3 linked regions of the Styela clava genome follow. The protein of the gene in region 1 binds, or shares a complex with, the protein of each later gene. Links are inferred from orthologs where the notes say so. Each region holds a gene or a part of one and is shown in the gene's direction. Other genes may lie near its edges. The genes, in order: eukaryotic translation initiation factor 3 subunit C-like, eukaryotic translation initiation factor 3 subunit K-like and eukaryotic translation initiation factor 3 subunit G-like.

Evidence for each region.
Region 2: eukaryotic translation initiation factor 3 subunit C-like (region 1) and eukaryotic translation initiation factor 3 subunit K-like share a complex: the UniProt entries of both Caenorhabditis elegans proteins name them as parts of the eukaryotic translation initiation factor 3 (eIF-3) complex. The link is inferred for Styela clava from reciprocal best matches to the Caenorhabditis elegans genes eif-3.C and eif-3.K.
Region 3: eukaryotic translation initiation factor 3 subunit C-like (region 1) and eukaryotic translation initiation factor 3 subunit G-like share a complex: the UniProt entries of both Caenorhabditis elegans proteins name them as parts of the eukaryotic translation initiation factor 3 (eIF-3) complex. The link is inferred for Styela clava from reciprocal best matches to the Caenorhabditis elegans genes eif-3.C and eif-3.G.

The regions. Positions count from the first base shown.
Region 1 is NC_135250.1:3,241,926-3,245,683, reverse strand, and holds the start of eukaryotic translation initiation factor 3 subunit C-like, read left to right. Parts: upstream 1-1,139; 5' UTR 1,140-1,228; coding exon 1,229-1,323; intron 1,324-2,357; coding exon 2,358-2,490; intron 2,491-3,351; coding exon 3,352-3,474; intron 3,475-3,754; coding exon 3,755-3,758. UniProt on the Caenorhabditis elegans protein: Component of the eukaryotic translation initiation factor 3 (eIF-3) complex, which is involved in protein synthesis of a specialized repertoire of mRNAs and, together with other initiation factors, stimulates binding of mRNA and methionyl-tRNAi to the 40S ribosome.
Region 2 is NC_135257.1:16,823,935-16,827,539, reverse strand, and holds eukaryotic translation initiation factor 3 subunit K-like, read left to right. Parts: upstream 1-1,485; 5' UTR 1,486-1,519; coding exon 1,520-2,173; 3' UTR 2,174-2,973; downstream 2,974-3,605. Other genes in the region: negative elongation factor B-like, read left to right, coding at 3,022-3,175. UniProt on the Caenorhabditis elegans protein: Component of the eukaryotic translation initiation factor 3 (eIF-3) complex, which is involved in protein synthesis of a specialized repertoire of mRNAs and, together with other initiation factors, stimulates binding of mRNA and methionyl-tRNAi to the 40S ribosome.
Region 3 is NC_135254.1:23,799,110-23,802,867, reverse strand, and holds the start of eukaryotic translation initiation factor 3 subunit G-like, read left to right. Parts: upstream 1-910; 5' UTR 911-1,045; coding exon 1,046-1,065; intron 1,066-1,985; coding exon 1,986-2,157; intron 2,158-2,690; coding exon 2,691-2,822; intron 2,823-2,945; coding exon 2,946-3,078; intron 3,079-3,271; coding exon 3,272-3,421; intron 3,422-3,758. UniProt on the Caenorhabditis elegans protein: RNA-binding component of the eukaryotic translation initiation factor 3 (eIF-3) complex, which is involved in protein synthesis of a specialized repertoire of mRNAs and, together with other initiation factors, stimulates binding of mRNA and methionyl-tRNAi to the 40S ribosome.

The DNA.
Region 1 (3,758 bases):
CTGATTTGAAATTCAGTTTGAACATGAATTTTCTATACAGATTTAAACTGTATCACTTAAGTTATATATGACATGAAATGCCATTTAAATAATATGTTTGAATTGAAAACTGCATGTTCAGCAAAGTCAGGTATTTGAGTAAATTCCAAATTAACTAACTTGTATTGAATTCTAGATTCAACCACACTACAACATAAGGTCTATCGCTGGATTTTGAATCCCCAATGAATATGATTTATTTTTAACCCTGTCCCTAACCATAACTTGGGTAGGTAACGTGTTGCTAGACCTCAAGCTATCATTTATAATTCATAATATAAGTTGTTAATTTTGAATTTATTCAAATACTTGATAGTTTTGTACAACCTTGTCTGTTATGGTAACGAAAAATTGTTCAGTCTAAATATCAAGTTCATTATTTGTGTATATTTTCCTAAAGTTCTTTTCATTCTGGGCAATGTAAAAATCTTGGCGAGTTATCATTATTTTCATATTCCACTTTGGGCTCGACATGTTAAAGTTCAAATATTATTTTTTGCTTCATTTAACTCAATTAATATGAGTTTGTCAAACTGTATATTTTCACCTTGCTTGTATTGTATAACTAGACAATGACTTTTGAAAAACATATCGATATTATCATTAGGATAACAGTTCAGTATCATTCGTTATTCGAGTCTTATTATTGACCTCGTTGAAAATTACAATCTTTTATTATATTGATTAGACAGACCAGGAGAATATTGCTTGCTTTTTTCCACAAGTCGACTTTTAATGAAACTATAGGTCTTTCTTTAATTTTGAAAACCTATACACTTTATAATTTAGATGTTTAAAAATTCGTTTCAACTTATTAAACTTCTGTTGCTACTCATTAACATGACCAATATTTCAATTTGACAATTATCTACAATAGAACATCAATAAACATGATTTAAAATTTCAAGATACGTTTTTACAAAGAAACATAGTCAAATCTTGTTAATGTATATACCATGAGCATTCATATTATCAAAATAGGCATAGAATTACAGTTTACCATTCTAGAATTTTGGGATGATATTGATATGTTTTTCATTGTCTACACTTTTCACATGTCTCATTAAAGTGTTGTCTTAATTCGCCACATTGTTTTTTTTGCAATAGATTGTTGCTATTTCCAGTTAGAATTTTGGCCAAAATAACACAATTTTTGTGATCTTGTGGCTGCATTTTTCAAGAAGAAAATATGTCTCGTTTTTTCGGAGCATCGAGCTCCGATACTGATGAGTCCTCAAGTGATGATGGAATGGCGCCTGCACCACAGAGACCACAGTCAACTAGGTATAGTGGAATTCGTTATTAAAGTTTTATATACCACCATTACTATTTACATTTTTATATAGTGATTTGCCACCTTCATCCTGAGCAAGGCTCTGTATAAGCAGCCACTGATACGGGTATTTTGGAATGACACATGCAATCCTTTTTTACTTATCTGTTTCAAATGTTTAGTGAACTTAACGCTTTTGGGGTTTGTCACAAAATTCAGTTATCCCCATTAGAAGTATGAAATTCAGAAGAATCAGAACTCTCAATTCTGAAAATTTCATAAGCGTGACCCCCAAACAATTCCAATGTTACCCGCAAATAGTTTGTTGTATGCAAGCCTTTTTTAATTATAGACTGAGAATCCTTATGTTAATACTTTTTGTGATCTACCAAAAATGTTTGGTACTCCCGAAGTATGTCAACCAAGATGGCGGACACAGGAGCGTAGTATGTGTACCAGGTTAGGGTTAGGCCATAATTTCAGGTACAAACACTACAAGGGAGTTACTTGGCTAGTCCCCGAACTCATAATAGAACTAAAATAAAGAAAATTGGAATAAAATTATGGCCTAACATAACCTGGTACACATAGTACGCTCTAGTGTCCGCCATCCTGGTTTACATACTTTATGAGTACCAAATTTATACCTCAAATTATCACCATTAATTGTCTATAACTCATACTCTAACAAAAAAGAATTCAAATTCCTGTATCTAACCCCTTTGACTTGGAAATGCAACTCTCACTCAAATAACAATAAAGACGTTCCAACTGAGAGTCAGACTACACTATTCTGGTTTAAATTCAAATGGACAGCGGAATGTAGTATGTGTATCAGGTTAGGGTTAGGCAATAATTTTGTTTCAATTTTTTTTCATTTTAGTTCTATACTAGTTCGGGGACTAGCCAAGTGGTATTTGTACGTGAAATTATGGCCTGACCTAGTTCACATACTACGTTCCGGTGTCCGCCATCTTGTTTACATGCTTCGGAAGTATCTTTACTTTTGCTTTTCACTGACTCATAATGTTTTTACTTTTCCTAGAGTTTTTCTGATGAGTGATGATGAAGAAGATCAGAAGAGAGTTGTGCGAAGTGCGAAAGAAAAATCTTGGGAAGGCCTCGAAAATTTGATCAAATCAATGAGAAATGCAAGAAAGATCAACGACATGGTCAAGGTATTTCAATTTTTAACATTTTATGAAACATTTTCTATTTTTTTGTTATGAATAAAGCTGATATAAATATGCACAAACGGTAAGCAGTAAACGATACAGAATATTATATAGATATTAGAAACATTGCTTAACTGATTATTTATTTTCACCTGCTGCGTTTGGTTTAGTACTGTGTCACAAATTATGTTTCTCATCTCGTGTTCTTTATTGAAGCTCAGCAACTTTGTGTCAATTTCATATTATTGGTGGACATAGTGCGTCTTAGAGGGGTTGAGTTTGCTTTACTTCACTGAAAAAGTGTGACTTTGCTTTGAGTAAATTATAAAACAAACAAAAATGTGGCTGTATTTGCTAAATAGCGCATGCTCACAAAAAAGTCACTGGTATGTAAGGTGCTACACACTATTTTTGAAATTGCCAGAATCTTGCGTCCCTGCATGCCTACCCGATTCTTTCCGTGAGGTCATGAGTATGAATTCAAGATGTTAATAACCTGCGAGGTAGTTTATTTAAGTCACTCTCACTACTAGGTCACAAGTTGTGTTTAGTAATTACTTATCGATTTTAATCGGTAAGTATGTTGATAGGTATTTGTCTGTTTGTCTGTCTGTTAGATGCGGGCGATATCTCACGAAAGCGAGATTGAATCTGCTCCAGATTTTGCATGTGCATTCATCATATGCCGGACCAGAAGCCTATTGATTTTGGATGAATTATGTTGTATAATTAACGAGTTATTAATTAATTAGTGATAGGACACAAGCTGTCACTATGGAGTAATAGCGCTGTTTTGGGGGATCCCCTAACTTTCGATCAATAAGTCTTCAGTCTTTGACCGATATTCTTGTTTTCTTTTTTCAGGTTCTGGATGATTTTGACAATCTCTGCAAACAATATGTGAAAGCAAAAAATGTGATTGCAAAAGAAGGAATTCCTCCTTTCTACATCAGGAATTTGGTTGAAACTGAGGACCATATCAATGAGGTTTGATTCGTTTATTTATATTTTTATATTCATCTCTGAGGAGAGGAAAGCCAATAAGACAGCTTAATCATGTGACGAATTCTGTATTGGATTAAAGCCACTGTATTGTCATTCCCCACAAAATTCGAACCTGTAAACACACACAGGATAATCAGTGTTGCAATGACATACTTAGCATAATATACCACATTTCAAGTATATAAATGGCTGGAGCGCCGGCATTTCTTCATTCACAAAGATGCAATATTATTATTCGCACCAAATTCTTCTCTTTTACCAGCTAT
Region 2 (3,605 bases), on another chromosome or scaffold:
TAAAAAGGACAGAAAAGCTTGATTAAAGGACGGTTGGCAACGCTACGTGGGAGATAATTACAGTGATACCTCGGTGCTCGATTGTCGCCGAGTGAGAGACGTCACCTAAACCGCGCATCTCGGCAGTCGGCACTTGATATACAGGGTCAGGGGTCAGCAAGCACACGCTGCTTGTCTAAGTCTCCTTCGACAACGTCCTGACGTTCGTGTAATGCAGTAATGTCTAATTCTAATATATTGTATAACCATAATGGATAAGCGATATTTACGAACATCAGAGTTGCAGTCAGCACAGGGGTACCGGTATTATAAATGTATAATGTTAAAGTGATAGCGATATTTTTGAATGTTAAAGTTATATCACCGCGTGACGAAATAATAAATTCTCTCTCTCTCGCGTGAAGTTATTTATTAATATTCAAGTTTCACTTACAGTGTACAGACTTACGGTACCGTACTCCCGTACGGTATGTTACAGTCACCAAGTTACCGACTCGTACTTCGTCCAGCAATATGTCAGTACAAACTTTACAAAAAAAATACAGAATTCAGGAAATAATGTAGGCTACCCTGAGTTGCAGTTATCGGTGTTTAGGAATTTCAAAATTATAATAACTGCAGAACTAAGTTAGCTGTGTAAATGCATAGAATTTGGTACCGTACCGTATAACAGTATAATAGAATTTACAAAACCTGAAAACGGTCTTGTATAGCAGTGCGGTATTTACGAATGCATAAATAGGAATGCCCAATCAATCTTTTACAGTATTATACACCGAATAAAGCTCATTTTTTCATAATTAGCCTATATTAAAATCTTGTTTCAGTGTTAAGTGCTTGGCTCGGTGGTGTGGCGCATCGTGCTAAGCGTTAGGAATACGCTCGCCACCGCATCTCTGATTCCTCTTCGTGGGATCGCAGGTTCGAATCCCATGCGGGGATGATCATGTGCGAGAGGATTGCTAGACTCCTCGCCGCCGTAGCCTGTAGGGTGGTTCAGGTAACTGCTGGTCGGTTACGGCTTCTTCCACCATCAAGTCCATGCTTCCGAAAACAAATAACTAACCAATCCCATACCCGACCTGGACTGGTAAGCCGGACGAGAGGCTGTGGTTCGCCATATGATTAAGCCGTCTTATCGGCTCTCCTCTCCCCCGGAATAAACATGTGAATCCTATCCTAAAATGTAAAAGCCAAATTCCATATGTCTGATTGTCAGATAATAAATTCTTAATACCACTGACTGACTGATACTGATACCACCTCAGGGTGTAAAAGATTGGCAGATTGGTTATGCAGTATCTGGAAAAATTCTTGAGCTTATTTCTGAACTGCAGAAAGAAAGTGTGAAACTGTCCCAGATTACTAAATCCATTTGAACAATATGGCTCTTGATGTAATCATTCTAGCCTTATTCGTTTGGCTGTTTTATTATTATAATAAAGCTGTCAAGTTACATTCTGACATTTGTTAACTTGCTACATATTTTGTTTTTCTAGTTGTATTTTTACTAAAAAAAATGGATGCTCCAATATCACCAGAAACAATATCTAGAATGTTGCAAGGAATAAACCGATATAATCCGGAAAATTTAGCAGTTCTTGAAAAGCATGTGGACTGGCAAGTTCATTCCGGTTCTTATGACTTGCCCGCAAATCTAGCTGTTTTGAAACTTTATCAGTTCAATCCAGCTTACTTTCAAACACAGAGTGTTTGTCAAATCTTACTGAAAGCTCTATCCACTATTCCAAGTCCAGATTTTTCTCTCTGCACCAGTCTAATTGACCAGAATCAGCAAGAGGACCCAAGCATTGGTCGCCTGCTTCTTTTACATCATTTGATAGAAACTTGCAAGTTCACTCATTTTTGGCAGGAGGTCAATGCAACACCGGATCTAATCAGTGGAGTAGCAGGGTTGGAAGAAGCAGTCAGAAAGTTTATTTGTCATGTTGTGTCTGTGTCTCATCAGAATATTGATATTGGAGACCTTCGTGCGATTCTCGGAGACTTGAATGAGCATGAATTGGAAGTATGGATTGAAAGATGTGGTTGGAAACAAAAAGAAGGCGGTTTAATTTCTGTGGCAAATCATGAAGAGAAAGTTAAAACTAAAAATATTGTGGAAAAAGTTGGATTTGAGAAAGTCCAAAATGTTATGGCATCAACTTGTTGATATTTAAACCTTTTATTAGTTTGCCTGCAAGTTTGATTTTCTGGTTGGGGTACAACAGATTCTGCCAGATGGCTGGACAAAAGTGATGATGCTTTTTTCCCATGAATATATACTATCAGAATAGCAAGTTCTAATATCTGTAATACCTTTGAAATAAATTACATTGTCAATCAAAGTTTTTAACTGTTTATGTATAGAATAATACAACTTTTTGGAGCTTTTTAAATGCCGCAGCAATCTTTCCTGATATACATACTCTCCAGTTTTCTGTTGGTGGATAATCAGGAAACCTGGATTTTGAAATATTTTGTTATGAACGTCATTTTGTGATTTTATATTGATAATTTAAGTTTATAGTCTGACAAAAAAGCATGCATACATCTGGACTGATGTATAAATCATTTTGTTTATGCTTAAAGTTTAAATTGTTGCAAAGATCTATACCTAACAGTTCTTTGGTAATGATAAAAATAAATAATCTACATCCAATCATAATTTAGTTAAGATTGTGTTTCCCCTAGATTGTATTACCAACTTTTGCATTAATTAAATTCCTTTTTTTGAAACACAATTTTTCCAAGAATTCGGGTTATTTATTAAGATTTTTCTTACCTAGCATTAGGTGATGCTGAAGCAAATTATGAATTTGTGTATTATGGATTACACTATATATAAGCAATAATTAAAAGCTATTATAAGACAGTTGACTTGTAACTTGCTGCTATTTGGATGATATATGTTGATGAATTATATGATTGCTGTTCTCGTATGGTGGTGAATGAATGTCATTACTTTTTAGATTGATAATTTTGTTGTGAATTTAATGATAATATTCTAGATAAGACAATATGGCACAAAGCCTTGAAGATATGGGTATAGCTGGTCATTCTTTTTTACAAGAAGCATTGACCAATACAACTGATCCTCTGGGTGCTATAGAGGAATTTCAGCAAGAGAACAGCATTCTGTTGCCTTCACTTCAGCCAGCCTTGCCTTTGTTAGGTAAAAGTATATAAAAATATATAAGGTTAATTAAACACTCTTGATATATTGGGGGTGAAAAAGTTTTTAGTTCAAGTATGAATTTTTTGATTTTTGCAAAAGTCTTTTTCAAGAATACAAAAATTAATATTTTCACTGTAAAGGTTTTTTTAAAGTCAATTCATGTAATGTGATGCACGTCCACTTAATAAGGTAATTGTGACTTATATCTCAGCAAAGTGACTGACTATTGGCTTGCATGCCAAGAGCTATGTCACGATTTGGGTCAAATTATGGCCTTTTTTTTACGAAATAGCCATGTAAATTACGGTGTTTGGAATAAAATTTGATGTCAAGGCTGATAGAATTATGTTGGTATATAATTTGAGTGTTCCAAATATAGGTCAGGTTTTGCATCACACTTCCACAAATTTCATTCAGTACTGTTTCG
Region 3 (3,758 bases), on another chromosome or scaffold:
AGCAGAAAAAAATTTTGCAATGAGTTCGGGGCACCTTGTTTTGAGTTGGAGTACCACGGCAGCAAATTAAAAACACAAACCAACATATGTAGCCAGTAATGCTGTAATGGCAGGTCTGCCCCTGCTGGTGACACATTTTGGGTACCATAATTTAGAACATTTTCCATATGGATATGGTTGGCGTTAAGGTTCGGTAAAAAGGGACCTCCAGAAGTATGTGCACCAAGATGGCGCACAACCTGAAAATAGTATAATAGATATTAGCTTCTTCGATATCTAATATTATGTAATACTGTAATATAATAAACTTTGAATGCTCTCGTTTCGTTGATTTTCATCAAATTTAATGACTTCAAATCTAGATGTATTCTCTAGATGTTTTATTTTTCAATCATGATGTTTTTCGAGGTCAATCTAGATGTTTTTAGTCAGGCAAAAGTGGCAGCCCTGGCGTGGTTCGCGGTAGGCCTATTGCTGGGTCATGCGAGAGGATAGCTGGGATGCTAGTCATCACATTCTTTCTTAACGATGGTCAGGACGAGTCAGTGCTACTCACTTCGGTTTGGCGGTGTGGCGCATCGTGCCGAGCGTTAGGAATACGCTCGCCACTGCACCTCCAGACCTCTGATTACCTACTGTGCATGGGTTCTCTGCGTCCTCTTTTCAGACAAATTGAGTGTTTGTTTTATGTATTGTTTTATGCGACATCTGAGATATGTACCGTACTGTGTTATATAATGTTACAGGGCACAGTTCATCGATTCGCGACATTTGGTTCAATAAAACAAACTCAATTTGTCTCTGAAGCGAGGACGTTTGGCACGACGGCCGATTCCTATATTGCGTTGAATGCTACAGTACAATTTATTCCAAATGCAGTATTGTGTACTTCTCAAGTGATTGGAGCAATCATTTACATTAATGTATATCAATTTTACATGTTTTTTTTATTTCAAATATGTTAACTTATTTAACATAAAACATAATATAAAAAAATGGAAATTGAAAGAGGGAACAACGAAAAAAGTAGCATCACAGTGTGAACATGCCGTCTGAAGATAGCAGGTAAAAGGAACTTCTATTTCTAAGACTTGCTCATGAACCTTGAACAACCATAGGTATCAAAGTCAACAAACAAACTTCGGTCTATGGCCTATGTGCCATGGAAAATATGAAGTTTCTGGTTTCTGTAATCGTAGCATATGCATGACCCAGTTCAGTATATAGTCAATGTTTTTGAGTTTATATTTATAAAATAATTACCGAAATATTACTGGACATCGGTTATTAATAAGTAACAAATAACATCTACTTTGCACTGTCCAGTGCCATGATGATGTTTTTGTTGCAGTTTTTTTTCAATTCCTAATTGATATTTTTCCATTGTGTAAATTTGTTGAAAAGTTCATTTTTATTTCCATCTCTATTGGAATTAATAATTGAAGCAAATCATATTCCAATCTTAAAAAATGTTATAGCATTGTTAACTGACTTTCATCAGAGTAGTAGCAAGTGAATACTGCTTGTTTTTTGATGATGATATTTTCCGGTTTATTATGTCTTTCATCATTTTGGAAATTAATTAGTTTAAACAAGCTTGATTGAATAGTAATAAAATAATTTTCTCAAGTAATATTGTCTGTAGTAAGAATAAAGTTTTCTTTGATAAAATAATGCATAGTAATTATGCAGCATGGCCAGTATAATTACGTGACATATCTGGTGCCTGTTCCAATGATGCAGTGGTGCCGGTAGTTTTGTCTTGGCTGTAGAAACGGATCACTTGAAATCTTGAATTTTTCATTCAAAAAGTTTTATCTTCCGTTACCCCTATTTCTGCTATGTCATATTTCAGGGATATCCATATTAGAAAATATTTTCAAATGTCATCTTTGGCAATATCAGATTGGTCATAGTTAGAAATATGATATTGATAAATTTAAAAAACATTCAGAATCATATGAAACTTTGGTTTTATTATTTAGTAAAGTGAGTTGGGCTGATGCTGCCGAACCATCGAGTTGGGCAGATCAAGTAGAAGAAGCAGAGGTACAAGAACTAGGACATGATCAACTGCCGCCTTCATCAGAAAAAAAAGATGGAAACACAAAAATTATCACAGAATACAAAATAAACGAAGATGGAAAAAAAGTTAAGGTTGGTTTTTTGTCATTATTCTGCTAAATATATTTATCAAATACATAGACTCAAACCAAAGGCATATTACTAACCATGGGAATTTTATATTGTGTATCACGAAAACATATATTATATACTATCCATGTTTGATTAATTGAGAACTTAATTTATGCCTAAATTATAAACTGTTTCCAAATCAAGTTACTTGAGGTATTATTCTAATTCCCAAGTTATATTTGCCTATCTGGTTCTTTATTAAAATTTTTTTTAAATTTGTCATTCCTTTTTGCGCTAATAATGCAGGGTTATGCAGCCAAAATAAACTTACGGTATAGTCGTAATAAATATGCTGAATAAATATAATAGTAGTGCAACAATAAAAGTATCGAAATACTGGGTTAAAATTGCGCATGAATCAATGTATTTCCCAAATGCCTCAAATTATAAAGATTTATCTAATTTGTCAGTTTTAATTTTGTTCATCCATCCAATATATCCATGCAACTTTGCTTTGAGATACAAGTTTTGAAATTTTTCATATGAAATTTCAGATTGTTCGTACCTACAAGATTGAAATCCAGAAAACATCAAAGTCAGTTGCCAGAAGAAAACATTTACCAAAATTTGGAGTATCAAAGGAGGATCCTCCCGGTCCAAATCGTGCGACCACCATTATTTCAGAAGTTAGTCATTTTACACTGTAAATTCATATATAGTTAATTATTACAAAGGAATTATTTGAGGTATAGAATGGAAAATACATCATAAGAAATTTGGGTTTCTAATCTATTCTGTTCTTCATGCAGGATGTGAACTTGCAGTTCATTAACAGTAGACAGGAGGAAATTCATGATCAAGAAGATCCTATGTTATCGAAATTTCGTAATCAACTACAATATTACATGTTTTTCAAGAATTTCAAGACAGGAAATAGGCCATGTATGATCTTGGATAAGTTTGGTTTTGTGTCGAATATTTATTAAAAATTTATCTGTATTTTTTTGTTATATCTATTGTTCAAAGATATCCTGATACATTCGTGGCACATATTTCCGCTTTGTTATAGTCTGGTTTGTAGTGATCACTGAAAGAAAAATTCAACATTGAGATTTAATCGTATTTAATTTTTCAGCTGAAAAGGAAGAGGAAGAAAAAAAAGATGAAGTCGATAGTCCAACTCAAGCGGGACCAGGAGGTGGAACTGGTGGAAAGTATGTCCCTCCAAGTTTGAGAGCTGGAGCAACAGCAAGAGGATCTTCTATGCCATCTCGGGGAGCTAGAGGTTTGCATTATGGATTTGTTAACTGAATGCTCATGAAAATATAATAGTCAAAACATTAGTGTCTATTGAGTTACTAGTTCTGTCATGTTGCAATGACAAAAACACACATTTAGGCATTTCTGTAGTAATTTTTTTTTTATTAAATTTTTGAAATACAACAATATCATCGTCTTTTGGTAAAATTCATTCAGTGATTTTGGTAAAACAAAAAAGTTACATTGCTAAAATCTGCTTGAAAATTCCACCTTGTGCTTATTTTGGTACTCCCGTAGTATGTGTACCAGGTCAGGGTTAGGCCATAATTTTTTCCTTATTTTAGTCCTATCACAAGTTTGGG